Nothobranchius furzeri: one gene and its partners. The protein of the gene in region 3 binds, or shares a complex with, the protein of the main gene of each other region. Links are inferred from orthologs where the notes say so. Each region holds a gene or a part of one and is shown on either strand. Other genes may lie near its edges.

The links. Proteins that work in one complex are often made in the same cells at the same time.
Region 1: ncaph (region 3) and ncapd2 share a complex: the UniProt entries of both Homo sapiens proteins name them as parts of the condensin complex. The link is inferred for Nothobranchius furzeri from reciprocal best matches to the Homo sapiens genes NCAPH and NCAPD2.
Region 2: ncaph (region 3) and smc4 share a complex: the UniProt entries of both Homo sapiens proteins name them as parts of the condensin complex. The link is inferred for Nothobranchius furzeri from reciprocal best matches to the Homo sapiens genes NCAPH and SMC4.

What each region holds. Positions count from the first base shown.
Region 1 is NC_091745.1:73,741,648-73,749,332, forward strand, and holds part of ncapd2 (condensin complex subunit 1), read left to right. Parts: intron 1-11; coding exon 12-219; intron 220-350; coding exon 351-469; intron 470-2,272; coding exon 2,273-2,470; intron 2,471-2,565; coding exon 2,566-2,740; intron 2,741-3,058; coding exon 3,059-3,143; intron 3,144-3,343; coding exon 3,344-3,480; intron 3,481-5,260; exon of another isoform or gene 5,261-5,609; intron 5,610-6,661; coding exon 6,662-6,794; intron 6,795-7,685. UniProt on the Homo sapiens protein: Regulatory subunit of the condensin complex, a complex required for conversion of interphase chromatin into mitotic-like condense chromosomes.
Region 2 is NC_091753.1:52,612,933-52,620,617, forward strand, and holds part of smc4 (structural maintenance of chromosomes protein 4), read left to right. Parts: intron 1-756; coding exon 757-907; intron 908-3,373; coding exon 3,374-3,538; intron 3,539-3,620; coding exon 3,621-3,854; intron 3,855-3,928; coding exon 3,929-4,114; intron 4,115-4,981; coding exon 4,982-5,143; intron 5,144-5,211; coding exon 5,212-5,437; intron 5,438-5,512; coding exon 5,513-5,589; intron 5,590-7,009; coding exon 7,010-7,162; intron 7,163-7,275; coding exon 7,276-7,402; intron 7,403-7,489; coding exon 7,490-7,679; intron 7,680-7,685. UniProt on the Homo sapiens protein: Central component of the condensin complex, a complex required for conversion of interphase chromatin into mitotic-like condense chromosomes.
Region 3 is NC_091757.1:27,687,983-27,695,667, forward strand, and holds part of ncaph (condensin complex subunit 2), read left to right. Parts: intron 1-744; coding exon 745-835; intron 836-2,259; coding exon 2,260-2,352; intron 2,353-4,141; coding exon 4,142-4,259; intron 4,260-4,941; coding exon 4,942-5,087; intron 5,088-6,675; coding exon 6,676-6,865; intron 6,866-6,965; coding exon 6,966-7,048; intron 7,049-7,685. UniProt on the Homo sapiens protein: Regulatory subunit of the condensin complex, a complex required for conversion of interphase chromatin into mitotic-like condense chromosomes.

The sequences.
Region 1 (7,685 bases), on a different chromosome or scaffold from region 3:
TCTTCCTGCAGTGGCAGTGATCAAAGCGTCTGAGCTGTGGGCTGCCATGGAGCCTGAGCTCCTTGAAACAGCCAGGACAGCTCTGGAGCCCACGAGTGAAACGGAGAGAGAGGAGCAAGAGGACGAGGAAGACGGGGATCCGGAGGAAGAAAAGCCAGCAGAAGACGACAGAGCAGCTGCACTGAGGATAGCTCAGTTCCTTCGTGTCAACAAATACAGGTAATGCTAATCACCTGTGGAGACCTGAGTGAAAACAGACCCATCAGGGTTATTAAAGTTATCCAGCATCACACGATGTCACACGTACACACATTTGACGTGATTATCTGTGCACCTCCATCTTTCTGTAGGAAAGCTGTTCAGCTGTGTATACGAGCTCACAGTAGCTTTCCTGAATCTGAGATGTTTGCCTCCTTGTCTACACTCACCCCTGACAATCTGATGGATGCAATGGCGTTCATTTTTAAAGGTAAAACATGGATCTCTTGGAGTTCTCAGAGGAAGCAAAATTAGCCAAATAAACGTAATCCTGGTCGCTTTGGTTGATGAAATGTTTTTACGTTGACATTTCTATAATATTTGTCTTTTTAATGAAGTGAATTACAGATGTGGTTAAACTAATCTAGTCAGACGGCGCAGATGTCCACCAGCACTGTGCCTAACTGTTCAGTCGTAACCGCGGAAACAAGCAAGCAGTTTAATTCATGCATGTTTTTGTCTCGATGAGATGTCAGTTCAATTAATCTTGTTTAAATTGCTCCCATAAATTATAACATTATGGCCGACAGGCAGAAATAAATCAGTGCTCGTCTTATTTAAAGGGGCATTATGGAAGTTTGACAGCTAAAACATGTATAGAAATAATAAATGTCTTCTTCATACATTCTCCTGCAATGCCCTGGTCCTGTAGAATGAGCCCTGGCATTTTTACTGTGATTGCCTGTTTTTCTGTAAAATCACAGAAAAAGAGAGATGCTCGGGTCGAGCAGGCTGCTTAATGCACGTTCACGCTCAGGCATAGCCCGTAGCGTTTGCTATCCGTAGCTTTAGCAGCAGAGAGAGAGGTAGTGCCACTTTGTCGCTGTTCCTAACGCCTAGTGATGAACCTAGCTACATTTCTGAGGACCCTTAGTTACTTTCTTCTAGATATTTCCTGCAAATTAGCAACAAAATAGCCATTTTCGCTCCAAACCGTTCTTTGGTTTGACATTTCAGGTGTCATCAAGGGTATAAAAGTTACAGATACCTTGAATGCTACTAGAGTGTAGCTCACCTTGTAAGATGTCTGACTCTCATGCAAAAGACCTGGGTTTGAATCTGGTTGTGAACATAGTTCATTTAAGTTTCCTTTTTACATTAATGGTATATTTTTTTACAGTAAGATGCCCAAATTTTTATTTGAGACTCGCCGAACGGCATTGAATTCACAGATAAAAAAGATGTGGGTTCAACTTTCATTTTGGAACAATTTTTCAAGCAAGGGAAGGGAATGATCTGAGCATGCAGGAGGACTGACCCATCTTAAACCTTTGTCGGCTGTGCTGAAGAGAAAGGTACAGAACCAAATTATTTAATTAATTAGCTGCATGTTCTCCTGTCCTCCGACACACACACACACCATCACACACAAGGGACTGTCTCAGCTGTTATTTTCGTTAAGGAGTGTGCACGTACAGCATGCGCACCTCGTGCACGAGCCTACTATTGAAGCTGCCGTTACGCTTTTGGCCTGAGGGGGCAATCACGAGCATAAAAATTCAAAACTCCGTAAAGTTTCTTTAAAGAGAAAGCCCCCCCTCAAAATTTAGCAACTCAGCACCGCTCTCTCCGCCAGGCGACGCCTCCTTTTGGAGCATTTTTTTTAAACCAGAAGTGTGTGTGGAGTTCGACTCGGGTAAGAGTTGACGTACTCTCCTTATGGGCGTTGCCTTGACGTTTGCCATGCTGCACCACAGAGCAGTACCTCCCTACAGTCTGAGTTCACCCCATCCCAACTCCACTTTCAGTCCGAAACCCTTCCACAATGACCCCTAAAGCCTTTCTGCTAATGTTTCCATTCCAGACTTCCCAGGTGGCCGTAATGTTATTATGGATCATAAAAGTAAATGAGTTTTTATTTTGACATGAGTGATCACTTCCTTCCTGCTGGTATTTAGTTTGATCTAAAAGCGTGAGATTTACAGAAAGCTTGTAAATGTTGTGGAGGGTTTATTTTAACGCGCCAGCTGACGCGGTTCCGCTGTCAGTAATTAATCCACGGTGTTCCCCTCAGGCTCCGGTGAAGATTCCTCTGAGCTCAGCCAGAATCTGCCACCTACCCCTGTAGAGGAAGAGAAAGAGGGGGAGGATGGCGAGCTGAAAAAGCAGGAGATGCTTGTGCAGTACTTGAGAGACACAGAAACTTTTGCCTTACAAGTGGAGAGAGCAATTTCTGTCATCAACAACATGCTCTACTGGAAAATAACCTCAGGTAGACGGTCTCGTCCACTGACGTCTCCGTTTGTCATTTCAGTGTACTAGAGATGAAGTAGCACAGTCTGAGATTTAGTTTTTGTTTATTCTTAGTGGTCCAGGAAGCAGTGCAGTTCTGTGTGACTGTGTGCGAGTTCAGTGTTGCTAACTCTATTAGCGGCGTGAGGAAGATGCTACCTCTGGTCTGGTCCACTGATGCGGCCATTAAAGACGCCGTCGTTCAGGCCTACAGACGCCTGTATCTGAACCCTCAGGGAGACACGATCAGGTCTGTTCCGCTGCTTTTTCACTATTTAATGATGAAACCGTTCCGTTCCTGTTCCAGGGTATCTGCGGGTCCTTAAAAAGTCTTACATTTGGCTCCCTTAAACCTGCAGATACCCTGTGTTCACATTCTTCATACTTGGGTTTAACAAGTAGGTTTGGTTAATGGCTTCACTTCTTATACCTTTCACATAAACCCGTAAACATTTTGTTTGCCTTCTGGATTGTTTTGCAAGCATGTAGAATAAAATCTGGGCCAAAATGAAAATCAAATAGGACGTAGTACGTGGTGAGAACCATGTCTGTGTGGTGTTTTTGTTAGGATGAAAGCCCAGACTCTCATCGACAGCCTCTCTGAACTGATGGTGGATGCATCTCTGGGAACCATCCAGTGTCTTGAGGAAATAGTGAGTAATAATTACTCGCGTATGAATCATTTAAATCTTTTTTATTTCTGCACCCTTATAAAAGCACATTTTTGCATAATGCTGGGGAGCATCTAAATGTTCCACAGTGTGCACTAAAGGGATTTTCTATGGAGATGTTTTGAATGTAAACGCTTGAAGCCTATAAGGAATGGTGTAACTGTGCATTCATGTCTCCGTAGGTGCAGGAGTTCTTTGGCAGCGGCAGCAATCTCCAGTCCACGGTGATTCAGGTCTTGTGGGAGAGATTTACCGGAAAACGCGAAACGTCGGTCTTACACAAGAGAGCTGCGGTGCTGCTGCTGGGCATGGCTGCACGGTAAACTCCTGAAGCCTTTTGTCCTCCTGCAATACACAAAACATCTAAATAAAGTTTTGTTTAAGTCTGCTCAGACTGTCAAACGTGACTACATCCACTGTGACCTTAGTGTGATGTGTTGTTCATGTAGCAGAGCTAATGAAGGATTCAATTCAATTTTATTTATAAAGCGCCAAATCACGACAAGAGTTGTCTCAAAGTACTTCACATAGTAAACATTTCACTTCAGGTCAGTTCATTAAGCCAATCAGAAATAATGTTTCCTATATAAAGAACCCAGCAAATTGCATCAAGTCACTGACTAGTGTCAGTGACTATACAGCAATCCTCATGCTAAACAAGTATATAGCGACAGTGGAGAGGAAAACTCCCTTTTAACAGGAAGAAACCTCCAGAGGATCCTGGCTCAGTATAAGCAGCCATCCTCCACGACTCACTGGGGATGGAGGAGACCGAGCACGCACACACACACACACACACACACACACAGCAATGTGTCTATGGTTACATTGTGATTGCTTAGTAAATATTGTATTTAGCGAGAGATACACTTTATTGTATGTATCCTAGTGGATCTATGATTAAACGGATAAACTAGTAGTAGCACATCCAACGTCAAGGAAAGCAAAAAGTTATTATCAGGAGAGGGAGAATGTTTTAGTGGTTAGCAGCAGTGTGTTAAGCCTGGTTTATGCTTCTCCGTCAGCTCCGCAAGGGACAGACACGCACGGATTGACGGAAGCGTTTTGCTCTTTTACTTCTCCGTCTCCTGGAGAGTGTTGCAAAGCAATTGCCCGGCAGGACAACAGAGGGCGTAGCGCTGTTCTGTGGTATCCTGTCATGTATCGGTCCAAGATCGTTTGTTTATATTGTGTTTTTTGTGTATATAAGAGACTTTCAACACGGACATATTTGTCTCTCATTCTCCCACCGCTTCTTGCGCTCCCCACCTCTAAACCCACGTTTCCTGTCATTTCCGTCCACAAATAAAACGCTTGCTGCGCATCTTTTCACTTCTCCAGTCACGGGAGGATTAAACGTTCATATTTTTAGAGTTTTTTCGCGAGGTATTCTTCAAGCTTCTCCGTGTCTGCCGCTAGTTAAACTCGGCTCTCTTTGCAATGGCGGCGCTGTAAACAAAAGTGGCGTCCTGACCAATCACAAGCTTGCGTAATCCGTCTCATTCGACGGATGTTTAAAAAAGTGGGCTCGACTCCGTACGTACTTGCGTGCCTGCCGGGGCCCTACACAAGGACGGATAATGGCGTTGCGTTTGCTCCGCACTGACGCAGACGGAGAAGCATAAATCAGGCTTTAGACGATGGGGCCACCACAGCTCAGCAGAACATCATTGTAGCTTCTTCTGGGAAGAAAAAACACTTAGAGAAAAAATAAAGTTAACAGCTGAAATTGCAGAAAATAATACAGTTAAAGAGCAGATTGTAGAAGAAAGTAGTCAAGTGTGAAAAGTGGTCAGTGTATCCTCCAGCTGGTGCTCTTGTTTCAAGTAGAATTCAGCCAGCAGAGAGGGGAGCAGCAGACAGCAGGTTTTGGCATATTACTTCCTGTTGTCTGTGAAGGTTCTTACTTATTACTTCCTGTTATTCGGACATCTCTTCTCTGATTGGCTAACAGCAACACGACTCGCATATGGATAAAAAGTGGTTCTAGTTTAATTTCATTCATTACAGTCTACAAGCTAAAATATTAGCTTTTCAAGCGTCTCCTGTGCTCCGCTTTGAGAAAGCGTTGTTTGTTTTTGATGTTTCCTTTGCCTTTTGCCCGGTGATGAGACCAAGGCGAATACGAGCTCACGGAACGAGAGCTGGGTCCTTTTTGCTTTGACTGGCGGGTAATCTTGGTAGTGCAGAGGAGGATTTCTGCTCTGCTGTAAGGGCCTGCCGACAGCAACTTGGCTCAACCCAAATTATTCCTCTACAGTCTTAGAGGAGTCATTTCTTGGGGTGATGCTGACAGTGTGTGTGTGTGTGTGTGTGTGTGTGTGTGTGTGTGTGTGTGTGTGTGTGTGTGTGTGTGTGTGTGTGTGTGTTTGCAAAAGGCAAAAAGTTCACCCATCCCTCTTTGCCGTTCCGTGAACGATGAGTTTCTTCTTTGGTAATCTGAGGGCAGAATCTTTCTCTAAAGCTATTTTCGATGTTTACCTTCACAAACTCATGGCTGCTGAATTATTCATGGCAAACTGACTCTGTTTGCAACGTTGATGTTTCCGTTTTCACAAATGAAACAAGTCTGAAGGAGTTCTGCTGTGTGGTGGAGTTGATAATGCTAACAGTTAGCTTCTACTGGCTGAGATGCTAAGTCATCAACGGCTCCCTGTCGCGAGCCAAGCTGGGTGAGTTCATGAATGCTAATTTACAGGGCGGCGTAGATCTGAGTGTTTTCCTGTCTTTTCTGTCGGCGGCTAAAATCAGGAAAGCGGGGTAGAAGACTGTTTTCAGGTTTAGCCTGCGTGCAAACTCAGTCACCGATCATATTTATAAAAAGCTAAACAGTTTTTCAGTGAACTTGGTCTTTACATTTTTCCTTCAAAATAAAAAACAAAATCTTTCTGGCAATTAAGACTTTTAGTGAAGGAATTAAACAGACAGAATCAGTAACTTTACTTTATTTCCAACTTGATTAGTCATTTAAACAAACTAATCTGGGCACCGAACATTATTTCTGTTTATCACATTCCACAGGCTTTGGTTTTTACCTGTTGGTAGGGAAAAAACCTACATCAGGTGCTGTTGCTGTCTTGATAATAACCCGTTTCAGTCCGGCCTCAGCGACTTAAAATTCAGCAAATCCTCATTAGGCAGAGCACAAGCCCAGCCTCTGCTCTTCTTCGCTGTAATCGAAGTCACGACCGAATAACCAGGCTTCTAGCCAGGACCTTTTCTATTAGAGAGTAAAGGGTATCTGCAGTCTGCCCACACTGCTGCTTCCTCATCCAGCATCGGCAGAACTCATAACCTATTAAACCTTCCGTGCTTTTCCTAACTTGCCCTCCTACGTGCATTATCCAGGCACACAGGCGAGGCCAGCATGGAGTCCATGGGGTGATGGAGGGCAGTGTTATTACCTGGTTTTGCATAAAGATGTGGTCATTAGGGAATAAAAAATGTAAGCTTTAGCGTGGTGTTCTTTTAAGTGTGTATGCTGTGTGCAACTGTAACAGGGAGGAGCGAGAGGTGGTGCTCAGTAACTTGGACACACTTTGTTCAGTGGCTCTGGGAGAAAAAGTGACTGAAGACTTCCTTCTAGCAAGAGACACGGTTCTGACCATCTGCAGCATCACTGACCACGTCAGGGTAAGAGTGTCAGCCATGTTTTGTTTCCATCTCAGTTAAGTGTGCCCGACCCCTACCTAGCATGTTTTAGATGTTTCCTAGTTTTAGTACACTTGATCTGCATCATTGGTAGGGATGTTCCCATCACATTTGTTTGCTCCCAATAAGAGTCCGAGCAATTTGACTTTGATCTGCCAGTACCAAGTCCCATTCAGATACTTCAGCAAAGCATCAAAATAAGGAAAAAGGAAAACACATCCTTTAAATTTCACTTATTTAGTACATTTATTGTTCAAATAAAAATATTTTAATATGAATATATTCAGAAGTAACATCATTGCTCATATTTCAAATTGTTCACGTCACGAAATTGCAGCTGAGTGATGCACGTCCTTTCGAAAGGGCAGGCATGCAGCGCCGTGGCAGGCGCCTTTTTCTCTGCACAACACCTGTAGCAGCGTGGCTACAGCAGACTGTAATTCTGTCCAGTGGCACTTTCTCTTTTACGCCGGGGACACACCGGCCGTGGAAGCGCCGCGAAAATGGGACCGCCTTCATTCGGCGCCCTTGTTAAGCTATTCTATAGACCACATGGGCCGCCAAAGCGCCGCGAATCGCCTCGCGCCGGCGCTCCAGCCTGCGCCGTGCAGCGATCATTTGGGCTTCTACTCTATTTTTTCGCGAGCCGTGGGTGAATCGCGTCAATTCTGGCAGGAATTCAAACCTAGACATAGAGGCAGGCCGGTAAATTTAATAAAATAAAGCATTTCAAAATAAAATTCCGCAATAGTCAAATGTGTTCGTAATCAGATACTGCAGAAAAACCGCACGAACACACACACACATACACACACATCGAACTTGTGTGCGTGTGTGACCACGTGAAGGGGGTGTGGTTTTGGGTGTCTTTTC
Region 2 (7,685 bases), on a different chromosome or scaffold from region 3:
TACACCATAGTAGAAGTAGAAATGACTGTTGTTTACAACATGGCATTCCAGCATTTTTTAACAGCGTCCTCGTCTTTTCCGACAGTGCGAGCTATTTCTCTCCAAGAATTATTAACCTGTTGATCACGGTGATCTCTGAGAGCTGAATCATACAAATGTCTGTATTTACAAACCTCTGCCATACTAGTTCTTGCCAGTCCGCCATGTTTTTCTGCGTCCAACCGTCCGCGTGGTTAGAAAAATTCCTGGTTGCGCGGTGCGGAAAGTTTGGGCCGTGCAGAGGTGCGGTGGAGGGGCGTGGTTGTCAAAATGACGCAGCTTTCCGCGCGGAGCCGTGAAAACCTAGCGGACGCGTCAAGCATAAACCAACCTTAAGAAGAATGCTATGATGTTAACTGATACATTATGATGTCACAATGCTGTTGTGAGCCTGTGTGTGTGTGTGTATTTGTTAGCGGCTCCGCCCTCTCGGTCTGCTAGGCAACAGCATTTGTTGCATTTGTCAAACAGGAAGTGGGAGTGGAGTAAGACTCTGGTGGGGGTGACTTGCTCTTTAATATTTTTTATAGTTTTCTGTTTTGACTCATTACCTTTATAAGTAACTTATCAGTTAACTGAACAGAAATGTTCTTTAAAATCTAGAATATTTGCTTTTTTAACTCGAACATCTTTTTGGTTTTAAATAGTTATGTTTCATAAATAATTTAGAGGGGTTTGATTCGGCTTACTCAGTAAAATGTTGTTTTTTCCCTTCAGAAAACAAAATGAGATCAACAAGTACATTGAGACCCAGAAGGAAAAGTTCACCCAGCTGGACCTGCAGGATGTTGAAGTGCGTGAGAAGATCAAACACTCCAAGAGCAAGAATAAGACTCTGCAGAAGCAGCTGGAAAAAGACAGAAAAAAGGTGTGTTGGCCTTTAAAATGCTCAGTGGTTTCATTTCCACTTGCTGTGACGGATTTCTACTAGATAAGTGATGTCACTCTGGTATAAATAACCCCGCAGCAACACCGATCAAAGGCACTGAGACACACAAAAAATAAAAAGCAACATTTTTCCCCAAAATCTGTAGCATTAATAAATGTAACATTAGCTGCACTAGCGATAGCAGCAGTGTTAGCTTGTTTTGGGCCAAAAAGAAACTCGAGGAGGAAAAAATAACGTTTGTGCCGTTCTTAGTCTGTTGAGTTTCTAACCAGATTTCTTCAAACCACTTTTGTTGTGAAAATGATGACATTTTTTATTATTTTTGAACAAAAACAATACAAATCAGGGAGAAATGAAGCAGAAATATTAATAAAGGTTTGTTGGTCGGTTTGAAGAAAAGCGTAAAGAAGCCGACGCTTCTGGGATTTTTTTTCTCGATACCATTTTGATCAAAAGCTTCTAGTTTAACTGCTGTGGATGGTTATCGTTTATTAAACAAATATAAAGTATTATCTTTAAGCTCATTGAAATTTAGATTAATGATCCCAGATCTGCACACTATCTGAGCTGAAGTGGAGAACAGGAATGTTTCTTGGTTCAAATCCTTTTATTACGATGTGTCTGATTATGTAAAGATGTTTACAGTTTTGTCTGCTTTTACCATAGAAAATGAATCTTTAATGTAAACTGGCTTCATCCACAGGATGCAGTAACGCCATTTAAATCTGTAGGCCAGCGTTCATGACAGGAAGCTGTCTGACGTAAATGAGCCACTAGGGGGCTCTGAAGCAACACACGGCCAGCTTCAGATGGGTGCTCTCCCAAGGAAAAGATTCATACTTGTGTGTTCCACACGCTCCATAATAAACTGAGAAACACTACTTAAGAGATTTTTCTCTAAGACTTTGTTCTATGGAAGGTTTTTAGTCAGGCAGAGGCAGGCCGACCTCTGGGAGCAGCATTCTGCTGGGTCGTCCACTATGGCCCGGCTCCCTGCAGCCACAAACCCTCAGCTGACCTACAAAGCAGTGGGTTAGCCATGCTAAGCTAAGTCTGAATCAGGGCTAGTTTAGTCCTGGTTGTGTGTGTGTGTGTGTGTGTGTGTTACACCTTTTTTTATTTGCTCACTTTGTTTATTTTTATTTCTACTATATTAGTTTAATCGTGGTTTTTATTTTAATTCCTGCATATTGAAGCCCTGGTCACAGATTTGTTTCCAGCGAGCTAATAGATGGTGATTATTAAGAAAACACGTGTTCCTAAAACATTCGCTGATCGTCAGATGAATGCAGAATGACACGTGTGTGTGTCGTGATTTTCAGTTGTTAGTTTCTAATAGGCCTGCACAATATATCGTAAATAAATCGTTATCGCGATATCAGCATGCACAATATGCATATCGCTAAGAACAGATAAATATACATGGTCAGCTCAAATGTTTGCTACACGTAATGCCTTCTGTCAGTCAAACGTCAGCATGATGTATTTTTAACAAATCAAATGGAGCTCTTCACCCATTTGGCCCGTTGGGTGGGTTCTCATAGGTCAGATGCCCCGCCCCCGAGGCGGACGGCACTTCATTTTGATGGTTAGCAAACACCTGAGTTAGCTTTGTTCTGCTCCTTTTGCTGATTCTGCTTTTCCCGGGATCCACTGATCGCCTTTAGTTCATTTTTTCCCTTTCCTCACATCTTTTGCTTTTCTCATTTTTATGATTTTTTAAATTTCGTTGTTTTTGATTATTTTTGTTCATGAGTTAAGTTTTTATTTACCGCAAATAATATCGTCATTGCAAAATTAATCACTGTTATCAAATGTCGCAGGTTAAAGTTAAAGTCCCATTAGTGTCACACACACAGGTGTGTGTGCGAAATTTGCTCTCCGCATTTGACCCATCCCCTGGGGGAGCGGTGAGCTGCAGACACGGCCGCGCTCGGGAACTATTTGGTGGTTTCACCCCCCCCCGATCCAACCCCTTGATGCTGAGTGTCAAGCAGGGAGGCATTGGGTCCCATTTTTCAAAGTCTTTGGTATGACCCGGCCAGGAATCGAACCCTGATCTCCCAGTCTCAGGGCGGACCCTCTACCACTAGGCCACTGAGCAGGTTTTCCTAATATCGCGCAGCCTTAGTTTCTGACATGTTCCGGTGTTAGAGGTCTTGTGATGCTAGAGGCGTGCCTGCTGTAGCGTGGGACATAATTACGAATGTCAGTCGGACCTCTTTTTGTGCCAAATGATGGAAACACAATTAAAAAGTACGCATCGGTGACAGAATAAAAGTATAAATATGGAAACTGCATCTACGGCTGGGGAAGAAAAACAAATCTTCCTGCTTTAAACTTCTCAGTCTTTATTTGTGACCGAGTGTTTTAGCAGTTGATCGTGAACACGTGTGACCTGTTCCTCATGATATCAGATGCGTCGTCTCTGTTTTTGTTTTTTAGCTGGAGGAAGTGCGCAGTGTACCGGCCAATAGTGAAAACGCCATCACCGAGGCAACGAGCCGCAAGGACGGCCTGGAGAAAGAAAAAACAAAAGAAGAAGAAAAACTGAAAGAAGTGATGGAAAGTCTTAAAGAAGAGACCAGCGGGTTGCAACAGGACAAAGAGGTCGGAGCATGTTCATTATTACTCTTCTTGTTAAACCCAAGCCTTTGTTTGCCGACATCCTCTCCACTCCGGTTCTTTCCAGACAAAAGAGAAGGAACTAATGGAGCTCAGCAAAGCCGTAAACGAGACCCGTTCTTGCGCGGATCTGGCCCAGTCAGAGCTCGACATCTATCTTAGCCGCCACAAAACCGCTGTGACGAACCTCAACGCGGCCAAACAGACGCTTCAAACAACAACCGAGACTCTGCAGGAACGCCGCGCCGCAATCAAAGACCTGGAAGTGCAAATACCCCAGAAGGAGCAGGAACTCAACAAGGTACAGTCGAGGAGCGTTTGTGTGGTGGCTTTTACCCACGAGCTTCTGCTCTGATGAGTTATTTATTCCTGCAGGATCAGGCTGAGCTGGAGCAGCTGATGAAGACGGACAACGAGACCAGGGAAGTAGTGAGGGAACTGAGGCAGAAGGTCGATGAAGCCAAGAGCTCGCTGTCCTCCAACCGCAGCCGAGGGAAAGTTCTGGACGCTCTGATGCAGCTGAAGAAGAGCGGCAGGATTCCTGGCATCTACGGAAGACTGGTAATCAGTTGTTTTTGGCAGCCATCTTGGTTTTAGTCTTTTGGACAAAAATGCATTTTGGTTTTGGTCGAATAAAAATCAAAAAGCTTTTAGTTTTAGAGAATTTAGTCTAACAGATGAATTTATAGGTCACACACGTGCTCTGAGCATCGTTTATATTCGAGCTAAAGGAGATTAGACCATCTCAGCTGTCCAGTAAAACAATCATCTGTTTTATTCTTAATCACTCAGCTGTATCTAATTCATGTAGTGATGCAGATCCGGTCAGGTTGTGTCCTTCATCTGCACCACAGCAGCGTGTAGATGCTCGTGAACATTTAGGTGACCTAGGATAAACAATCCTGACAAACTGACTCTTAAACGTGTTAAAAACCGTCATTTCTCTCATTCATCTACCCCAGAAACATCGCGTTTTCAAGAAGCATGAGTAATAAACGTGTTACTATTACAAATATAAGTAAAAGTAGCCTCATGATCGCTTGTAGCTCTAATTGTTTACTTCCTGAAGCGTCCGTGTTGAGCGATGCGCGTTCCCACTTTTGCAGAGAGGCAGAACGCACGCTCTGCTGCGCGGTGGTGGGACCTGCAGACCCGGGGATCGCAGCAGCAGCGCTGTAACGCTTAGCTTTTGTAAGACGGGCACAAATGTTCATCTAAGCATAACTTTTGTCGAGTTTCATGTTTTAGTCACCAAAGAGCTATTTTTAGCTCGTCTCGTTTTCATTTGGAGAAAAGGAGGCGTCAACAAAACCCTTTAGTCACCGTCGACGAACACGACACAAATTCTGTTTTCAGTATTCACTCACACACACACACACACACACACACACACACAGAGCAGTAAGTACTGTGTTTCTGTGACTGTAGGGAGACCTTGGAGCCATAGATGAGAAGTACGACGTGGCCATCTCCTCTTGTTGTGGCGCTCTGGACAACATCGTGGTGGATACCATCGACACTGCTCAGAAATGCGTCACCTTCCTGAAGGAACAGAACATCGGTGTGGCCACTTTCATCGGTCTAGACAAGGTAAAAAGGTTTTACACCTTCAGTCACAAAGACCGCGACGAAACTTCCTTTGTTCTTCGTGTTCTCAGATGAAGGTGTGGGAGAAGAACATGGCTCCCATTCACACGCCAGAGGACAGCCCTCGCCTGTTCGACATGGTGCGAGTGAACGACGAGGGCGTGAAACCAGCTTTCTACTTCGCCCTGAGGGACACGCTCGTAGCCCAGGACATGGAGCAGGCCACGAGGATGGCGTTCCAGAGGGACAAGCGCTGGAGGGTGGTCACCTTGAAGGGACAGATCATCGAGATGGCCGGTCGGTGTCTTCTGACAGAAGTCTGGATTCATCAGTGAGCTCAAGTCTTTAAGCTTCTTCTGGTGTGTTTCACAGGAACCATGACTGGAGGAGGGCGGGTGCTGAAAGGCCGAATGGGCTCTTCTATTGGTGCTGAGGTCTCTCAGGTGGAGGTGAGTCTACATCGTCACAAATCTCCCAACACTTTGTTTAATCATGATTTATTGCTTTTTAAATCACAAATACTTTAGCTGTGACCCTAACGAACACTCAATATAATCACATAATAAATAACCCGTGCCTGTAAACCGTTACTAGAGCGAAATAAAAAGTTTTATTTATTCTAACGGGTCTTCCAGGCTGTACTGTGAGACCTCTTCAAATGGTCCAGAACGCAGCGGCGCGTCTGGTCTTCAATCAGCCAAAAAGAGCACACGTCACCCCTCTGTTCACTGAGCTCCACTGGCTACCGCTAGCAGCACGCATCAAATTCAAATCGCTAACACTAGCATACAAAGTCCGAGACGGTACGGCTCCCATCTACCTGAATCCTCTTGCAAAGGCTTACGTCTCGGCCCGGCCGCTCCGGTCATCACAGGATCGTCGGCTAGCAGTGCCTACACCACGCTCAGGACAATCCAGACTCTTCTCATGCATCGTTCCACAAATGTGGAATGACCTTCCTAACACTACCAGAACAGGGGCTTCCTTTTCAATTTTCAAGAAACTCCTGAAGACCCTGCTCTTCAGAGAGCATCTTCTAAACTAGCACCCTCCCTGCACCCGCCCCCCCTCTCTACTGTCCACTCCTTGTTCCCTCCTCTCCATGATTGATGTCAAGTTGTTGTTGTTATTGTTGTTGTTGTTAGCCTCAAGGGCAACATGCCGATTATCACTTGTTAAGCCTGATTCATGCCTCTGCGTCTCTGCGGAGACACGCAACGTCCTTGCGGGCCTGCCGGAGAGCTCCGCAAGGACAGACGGAGTCGAGCTCTCTTTTCTAAACATCCGTCCGTCGAGACGGACAACGCAAGCTTGTGATTGGTCAGGGTGCCGCTGTTGTCTACACCGCCGCCATTGCGCCCTCAAAAACAAAGAGAGCCGAGGATAAACTAGCGGCAGACATGGAGCAGCTTGAAGAACACCTCGCGAAAAAACTCTAAAAACATGAACGTTAAATTCTCCCGTGACTGGAGGAGTGAAAAGATGCGCAGCAAGCGTTTTATTTGTGGACGGAAATGACAGGAAACGTGGGTTTAGAGGTGGGGAGCGCATGAAGAGGGGGAGGAGGATGAGGGACAAATTCGTCTGTGTTAAAACGTCTCTTATGTACAAAAAAACCAACATAAACACACATCTTGGACCGATACATGACAGGATACCACAGAACAGCGCTACGCCCCCTGCTGTCCTGCCGGGGAATTGCTTTGCAACACTCCAGGAGACGGAGAAGTATGAGGGGAAAATGCTTCCGTCAATCCGTGCGTGTCTGTCCCTTGCGGAGCTGACGGAGACGCATAAACCAGGCTTAAGTCACTTTGGACAAAAGCGTCTGACAAATACATAAACATAAACGCATAAACATATTTGCAGTTGGACCGAATGGAGAGTAAGCTGAACGAGAAAGCATCAAAGGTGCAGGGCTGCCAAGAGAGAAGGATGCAGCTGGAGGAGAGCATCCAGCGTCTGCGGACGCAGCTCCGAGAGATGAAGAACACTCTGGAGAAATACTCCAAGAGCATGAGTGTAAGAGCTTCACCCACCCAGTTCCCGTCGGTCTCCGATCAGCTCCTCTGCTGTCCGTAGCCGTGAGTACCTCCTGGGTTTAGTAAACGGTGTTTTTCTTCTTCTTGCCTCAGAGTTTAGCCGACCAGGAGACTCACCTGAAGCTTCAGATGAAGGAGCTCGAAGCCAACGTGCTGGCAGCGGCCCCGGACAAGGCCAAACAGAAGCAGCTGGAGAAGAGCCTGGAGGCCTTCAAAAAAGGTAGAACCTTCTCTGAACACGGAGGAGAAACATGACCGACGTATCGTGACACGACTGCAATAATGAAGCGTAACGTGGTTCCGTTAGACTACGAGTCCGCGTCCGGCAAGGCCGAGAAGGTGGAGAACGAGGTGAAAAGGCTCCACAACCTGATTGTAGACATCAATAGCCACAAACTTAAAGCTCAGCAGGACAAGTTGGACAAGGTCAACAAGGAGTTGGACGACTGCTCCTCCATCATAACCAAGGCCAAAGTGGCCATCAAGACAGCTGATCGGTAAGC
Region 3 (7,685 bases):
TTACTGGTAAAAACGTGTAGTGGAGATAAATCTACCTACATTTGACTTTTCAACACTTTGTTTCGTTTTCTTGTTTTTATTTAACTATTTTCCTGTCCTGTCTGTCTCTCATCTTCCTGCATCTCCTCATAATTCTCCAGAAAATCTGTTGCCTGGATTCTTATCTTTTCACCTCATCAGTTACTTTTGAGCAGATCAAAGGGATCTCCTGACCGAAAAGCGCAGAGCGCGTTTTCGATGCTGCGTGAGGTGACATCACCACAGCACAGGTGATGAGCTCCGCAGTAGCGAGCTTCAGGCACAAATAAGACAGAAAATAGAGAACATGTGCGGACATGAACGATCGTGTGCTAATTATAGTTTTTTGGTTGCGCCACTTTGAGAATGGACCGTGCGCTGGAAGCAGCTGCCTGGATCGCTGCGCGACAATGCGGAACCGGTTCGCAGCAGCGCAAGTCTGCCGGCTCTCCCTCACGCTGATCTGCCGGCTCTACCTCGCGCTGATCTGACTTGCTCTGGTCTGCGCGCAACGGCGGGCGGGAAGGGGGGGGGGGCGCTTTTGGAAGAGTTGTGCGACACAACGAATCGATGACGCAATTCGTTGCCAACGCTTTTAGTAATCGATTTTCATCGAATTTATCGATTCGTTGTTGCAGCCCTAAACTCATCACTGCACACACATCGATCTGCCTGGCTGCCATGCATCTGCAGAAGTTAGTGATGGCCTGCTTTGTTTGTATGCAGTGCTTTGGGGACTCCTGCTGCTATCCCCAAGCTGTCAAATGCTCAAATTTCAGAGCACTACTCGACCTGCATAAAACTTTCCACTGAGAATGTAAGTATTCAGCCTGGGTGAGTAAAATGATAAATGGCCTGCACTTGTATAGTGCCTTTCTGAGTCAGTGGACTACTAAGCTCTTTACACTACAATGCATCATTCATCCATTCACACCCTGGTGGTGATGAGCTACAATGTAGCACAGCTGCTGAGGGACACACTGACAGGCGAGGCTTTCCAAGCACAGTCGCAGGCAAGGTGGGTTAAGTGTCTTGCCCAAGGACACAACAGCAGCATTCCCTGGCAGAGCTGGGAACGAACCTGCAACCAAATGATTACTGGACAACTCGTTCTAACTCCTGAGCTTCTGCTGCATAAAAATAGTAGCTCAAAAGAAACAAACTCATCATGTAGAGGATGGGATAAAATATCTCCACATTCTGGCATGTTTTAAATAGACATGCACCGATATGGCATTTGGACCAATACCGATATCAATATCACTGTAGTGGCTGATACGATATACTAGGGCTGGGCGATACGGCCTAAAATCAATATCACGATACACTGAGGATTTCACCTCGATAACCATAAATGGACGATAATTACAGGTATGCAGAAACAAAAGTTGTCCACTAGATGGGGCTGTCACATGTATTATATTGAGTCACATGCTTGCATGACTCAATGTGGTACAGCTTCTTAAAGGGACATGAACGTTGCCAACCTACTCACATCTTTTCATTTATTATCAAATTTATCGACATGGGAAAAATGATCTTGATAAGAGTCAGAAGTTTCAATAACAATAAATTTTCGATTTATTGCCCAGCCCTACAATATACTGACATTAATGCTTCTAAAATCTGTAGATTTTTTATAGAATACAAATTATTAAAGCTGAATTTACATCATTAAGTACACACATCACACGCATTTACGCTTCTGCGATGATTAAAATAATTGTCACATGACTAAACAAATACACATCACCCCCTCACGCTGAAACAGATAAACAAATGGAACCAAGATGGGAAAAATATTGGTTGTTAATATCGGCCCAGTTTTATTTATCGGACCGTTACCGATATGTTGAGAAAGGACTAACATCGGCTGATACCGATATTATTGCTGATATATTGTCCGTCCCTAGTTTTAAAAATAATCTTCTCTGGTTCCGACGGTTTTGTAGACTCGCAGCGACTTCTCTGTTTTAAAGACACACTGTTATTCATTCTTTTGGCTAAAAGATGTTTTTGGGATTCACCTTACTGAGACAAAATCAAGTTCCATATTTTGTAGATTCTACTAAAAAGTTATGTGCTTCTGACTGCTAGTAACGAACCGCCACGAAATACAAACTTGTAGTTTTAAGTTTGCATTTAATGTTTTGTTAAATAAAACTTTCACTTTTGAAAATTTGAATGAAGACATTCATCCACTGTATTTCTTTTCCTCCTTTTCTTTCTCTTATTTTGTAGAAAATCACCACAAAAAATGCTTTTGGCTTGCATCTGATTGATTACATGGCCGATATTCTAAAGCAGAAGGATTCTGAACTCACCAACTTCAAGGTTTGGCTCTTTTGGTGACTTCTTTGTTTTCTTTTCATTTTTAACTGGCTGAAATGGCAAAGTCCTATTTCTGATGTTTGATTTTGAAACAAGTTAAGAGTAAAGTGTTTCTCACCCTGTGTATTCTTGAAGAAAATGTTTCGGCCCATTTTGAAGTCCAAAACAACGATCTGAATAAATAACCTAGTTTTGCTGAGAAAGTCTTGGAAAATGTTCATCTACAAATAATTTACCTTTAGCAAAGTATAGCATTGATTTTTCATTAATTTAAATGATAATATCTGTTCATATGATTTGCTAAAATCCATCTAAGCATGGAGAGAAGTGTGAACCGTCTGGATTCAAGAGATGCTGCAGAACTGGGACACGGCTTTCGGATTTGATTTCTGAGTTTTTAACAATGTACCGTAAATCCTCTAATACAGGCCTGTATTCAATTAACGGCCGGGTCTCATATTTTGGCCGGTGTCGGAGTCGGCGGAGGTGAATAATGGCCGGTCTCTTATTGTAGCCGGGTGGAATGTGGTAACAAGCAAGTACCACAGGGGGGCGGTTGTGTCATCGTCTCACTTTTGATTTGCCAGTGATAGACCGCGAGAGTAACTTTAACCGTGCGGAGACGAATAGGAGGCGAAAATTTGATATCAAGTTCAAAGAGAACGTGCTGATTATGCTGCAGAACACTGGGAAGCAGTAGGGGTTGTGTGAACTAGTCGACTTCACTATAGGGACTTTTTATGCCTGTCATCGACTAGTCGCTGTCACGTGATAATGACCGGCAAGCTGCAGCCCTCGGAAAAGACAGCAGCCTGCTGTCAGCAGGTGATAAGCTCCTGCGCTCAGGAGGGCAACGCGCTGTGCCAGAGCGTCGGTACTGACACGCGATCATTCATGTCGGTTCATTTCCTTTAATGTTTTCTGTCTTTTATTTGCGCCTGATGTGTTTCGCTGCTGTGGAGCGGGGCACATCACCTTGTCATCCGACGCACCGATCACTGATGCGGCCGCCAAGCAGCGAGCACCCCGCTGTTGTAGCGGTCGGTAGATCTTTTAGAACTGCAGCTCAAAGGTAACTCATAAGGTGAATATATATGAAGGCAGGTAGCAGTTTTTCTTTAGGATTGAGAGGAGATGCAGGAAGATAATAAACAGATACAGGACAGAAAAACAGTCAAATAAAAACAAGTTAGTTTTTGTACCTGGTGGTTGCAACAAACAGACACCATTGAAGGTAATCAGAAGTGAGGAACAGAAAATGAAATAATTATTTTAATGTTTAGAGCAGCAGGAACTCTGAGAGGCTGCAGGCGCATCAGTGAGTTTGCGGCCGCTGCGCGGGGGGAGGGGGGAGAGGGATGAAGCAGGAACTACCGTTGTTAAAAGAAATGTGTTTAACTTTGAAAATGTGGGCGCAATTTTAATTGTCAAAAACTCCAGCGAACCATTAGTTCATTTTGCTCAAATAGAAATTGAGGCCTGCCTCTAATTCTGGTCCTCCTTCCAATAAAGGCCTGGAGCTTGATGAGCTTGAGTCAAATACAGGCCCGGGCCTGTATTAGAGGATTTACGGTAAACATTATTCTTCAAGCAGAAGCTATGTGAAAACTTGTGTATATGAAGGAAGTCCAATCTCTGTGTGTGTGTGTGTGTGTGTGTGTGTGTGTGTGTGTGTGTGTGTGTGTGTGTGTGTGTGTGTGTGTGTGTGTGTGTGTGTGTGTGTGTGTGTGTGTGTGTGTGTGTGTGTGTGTGTGTGTGTGTGTGTGTGTGTGTGTGTGTGTGTGTGTGTAAGGTGGCAGCTGGCACTCTGGATGCTAGTACAAAGATCTACGCTGTGAGGGTGGATGCTGTTCACGCGGATGCTTACAGAGTGCTGGGTGGTCTAGGAGCCGAAACTAAACCTGGCGAGGGTGAGACGGCGGAGTTGTGTGCTGCTCATAAGCATTAGAGTTCAGCTCAGTATGGAAAAGAGGTTTTCTGACTCAGAACATGTGTTGTCATGAGAAATGGGCATAATTCTAATATGAGGATTAACATAAAACACAGTCGTTTGAGTCAAAGCAGGCAAATCTATTTAAACAGCCCTCTCATTCGTGTTAAAATGCAGAATATAGAGGGCTTTTATTTGTGAAGCAGATTCTGAAGTCCAAAAATCACTTTTCCTCACATTTCAACAAACCGCAAGAAGATAAAGAACGGGGCTGTTATCTTTTAAATAAAGCAACAAACTAGTGTAGGGCAGAGAAAACTAATTCACTTTGTCCAAACATGTTGGCGTGTAATCCCAGATAAATAACAATCACTGTTTTATAGATCAGTGGCAAAAGTTCAGGATTAAAAACTGCAGCAGTTGCCATTAAACCCTTGTGTTGTAGGTTTTCTCCTCTGGGTTAGTCCCAGTCAGGTTTCATTCATTCACAAACAACATTTCCTTCTCTGATCAGTGCAGAAGATCATTTCATAAACGCTGTCTGACACTATAGGACCACTCTGGATCTAAAGTTTTTTTGTGCCACAATTTTAAATGTAGCCAGACAGGTCTGCTCTGCGAACATACGCTCCTGTGTCATGTTGAACTCTGTGCTGGTGCAGGCCGTGGAGCAGAAGAGGACGGAGACGATGCAGCTGCAGAAGGAGAAGGCACCGCCAAGCAGCCAAAGAAAAAGAGACCTCCGAAAAAAACCGTAGAGCAGAACCTGAGCAACATCAACAGCACCGAGTCAGAGAGGAGGTGTGAGGTGTGTTCTGGTCTTTCTACACACACACACACACCACTGCTGCTGCGTTCCGTGTTCCTTCTCTAAGGAAAACTGAAAACTGTTGCAATCTTAATCCTAACTCACCTAAAAGCTAGAACTTTTCTCTTGGGCTGTTTAAAGCCTGGCTTCGGTTTGAGAATCTCCCCAGAAGTGTTGAAATATACAGAATGGGGAAATGGTCCCGTTTCCAGGTGTTCGTGATCTTTTATCTGACTAATAGACCCTTTTACTACCTACGTCATCAAAAGTTGCGCGCGTAGCCTGGCAACGAGAGTGAAGGCTTCCTCATTCACACTCGATACTAAAACAGCGTTTGAAACCTTTTGTTTTGAAGTTCTGAGCACATAAAAATGTCGGGTTGTTGCATGTATGGATGCCAGAATCGCTTCTCTTCAAGCAGTGGACTGAAACTTTACAGAATTCCGAAGGGAGCACATCCATTTCAACAAAATCGGGGGCGTCTGTGGCTGCAGGCCATCAAAAGGGTTGATGAAAACTGGACTGAAAACACGATCCGAAATGCTCGAGTTTGTAGCGCCCATTTTATATCAGGTAAGGTAATTATGTACTAAGGTTACACCAGAAAGCTGGTTAACGTGTGTTCTATTAAATAAAGTAAGATGCGTTTGCTGGTTTGCTTTTAAGCAGTCTATTTATTTACAGGTGAGGTTTTCTGTTTTTCCCATCCTAACACAAAGCTCAACTTTGAATAAAAGTGCTGCTGCGTGGCTGCAGCATGACCCAAGTCTGGAACATCAAAATTACAGAATTAAACACATTTATATGCTTTATTTCATGCTTCAAATTAACATTTCATTCTAACTCATCTGTATTTTCTCACTGCATATTAGTATAAACTGTATTTCTCTAAAATTAACACGATTGTACTCTGAGCATGCTAAAAAAAAGAAACCTATGCTATACTCACCCTGCCATGCAGGTACAGTTGGCTGTGAAGACGTAGTTCTCTGGTGTGTTTACTATGACCCAAGCCTCGTACGTAGCAGTCTTGTGTCCTTGTCTTTGGCTAGGAAGGACTTCTGCCTTCAAGACGCAAAACTCAGAGTCTATGTCATGATATTTTACTTTCTGTACGTGGCCACAGACAACATAGTTGTATGCATCTAACGATTTGTATGCCCGTAGCTTCTCACGTGTGTACTTACTGGGCCTCTCCACTAAAAACGTACATATACCGGGCCACTGGATATCGGGCCACGCACCTACATCTTCCACCCATTCCGTAATGCCACAGGGATCCGGGAGTCTGTTGCCATTCGTTAAAGTGAGTTTAATAATGTAACATTCAAGATTTGCCGGTGATAACCCCGCAGCGTAGCTTTATAAAGCCTGACACAACGACATTCTCTGTTGCCAAGCTGCGCGCGCATTCTCGCTGACGTCATATTGTTTACAAACAGTAAAAGGGTCTATAAAAACCAGGTTTTGTGAAACGAGACTGCTCAGAGGAGCAGACAGTTAAACTCCTGGCCGTTGGAACGGATATGTTATTTCACCAAGTTATTGGTCATTTGATTCATGCAAATGTGTTAATGTCTATGTGCAGGTGGACCCCATGTTTCACCGCATGGCTTCATCCTTCGATGAGACCAGCACAGCAGGGGTGTTTTTGCCGGTTCTCTTCAGTGAGAGCAGTCGCTGTGAGCTGCTCTTTCCCTCCCACCTCACCCTCCTGCAGTCCCGACCGTCCTACTCCCCTCCACCTCCACACAGAGTCCCCGCAGCACCCTTCAAGGGTAAGACGGATCAAAGCCTTCTTGTTGCTTGTACGGTCTAATGTTTGTGCACCAATGTGTCAGATTTGGTTACAAAAGCTTTATGTTGGAATTTCACCAGCTGGACTGCAGCATTCCCAGGAAAAATGCTCCATCTGTCCCTCGCTGCAGGATTTCTCCTTCACCAGCTGGAACCCTGAGCAGGTAAAGAACGGTTGTGATCGATTCTGTCAGAGTTGGCCGTCTCATCTCCACTTGTCCTACTAAAGACTCCATGAATCCGTCTGATTGTTGGGATTTATTTAGTGGGACAGGATAAAAACCGGTTGCTCAGCAGACCAGTACATCACACCAGTCCCCGCTTAAGCTGCCCGTTACCGCTGACTGGGTGGTCTTGGACCACGTGTCCGCGGAGTCTGAACGGCGGTTACAGATTGGTCACTTAATTTAAGGACAATGAAGACCCTTCAAAAGTCTGGTGGCATCTTTCTAGAATAAGTTTTTTAACGCTTTGGGATCTGGATAGCATGGCTTTACGTTCCGCCTCTCCAGACGCATCATTTCCGGTTTATGTCGAGTCAAGCTAAGCTGCCAGGTCCAGCTGAGTAAGAAGATTCTTGGCAGACAGAAAAAGTTGGGAGTGTTTTATTTGTGTTTTCCTGTTTTTAATTAGAGACGCTTCATAAACGACATGGTGTCTCATAAAGGGTTAGAGTCATTTACAGGGTATCCGCGGGTCCTTACAAAGTCTTAAATTTGCTTTTCTAAATTTAAGGCCTTAAAAATTACAAATAATCCTTAAATACAGTTTCCAAAGGTCTTAGATTACCAAAGACCCTAT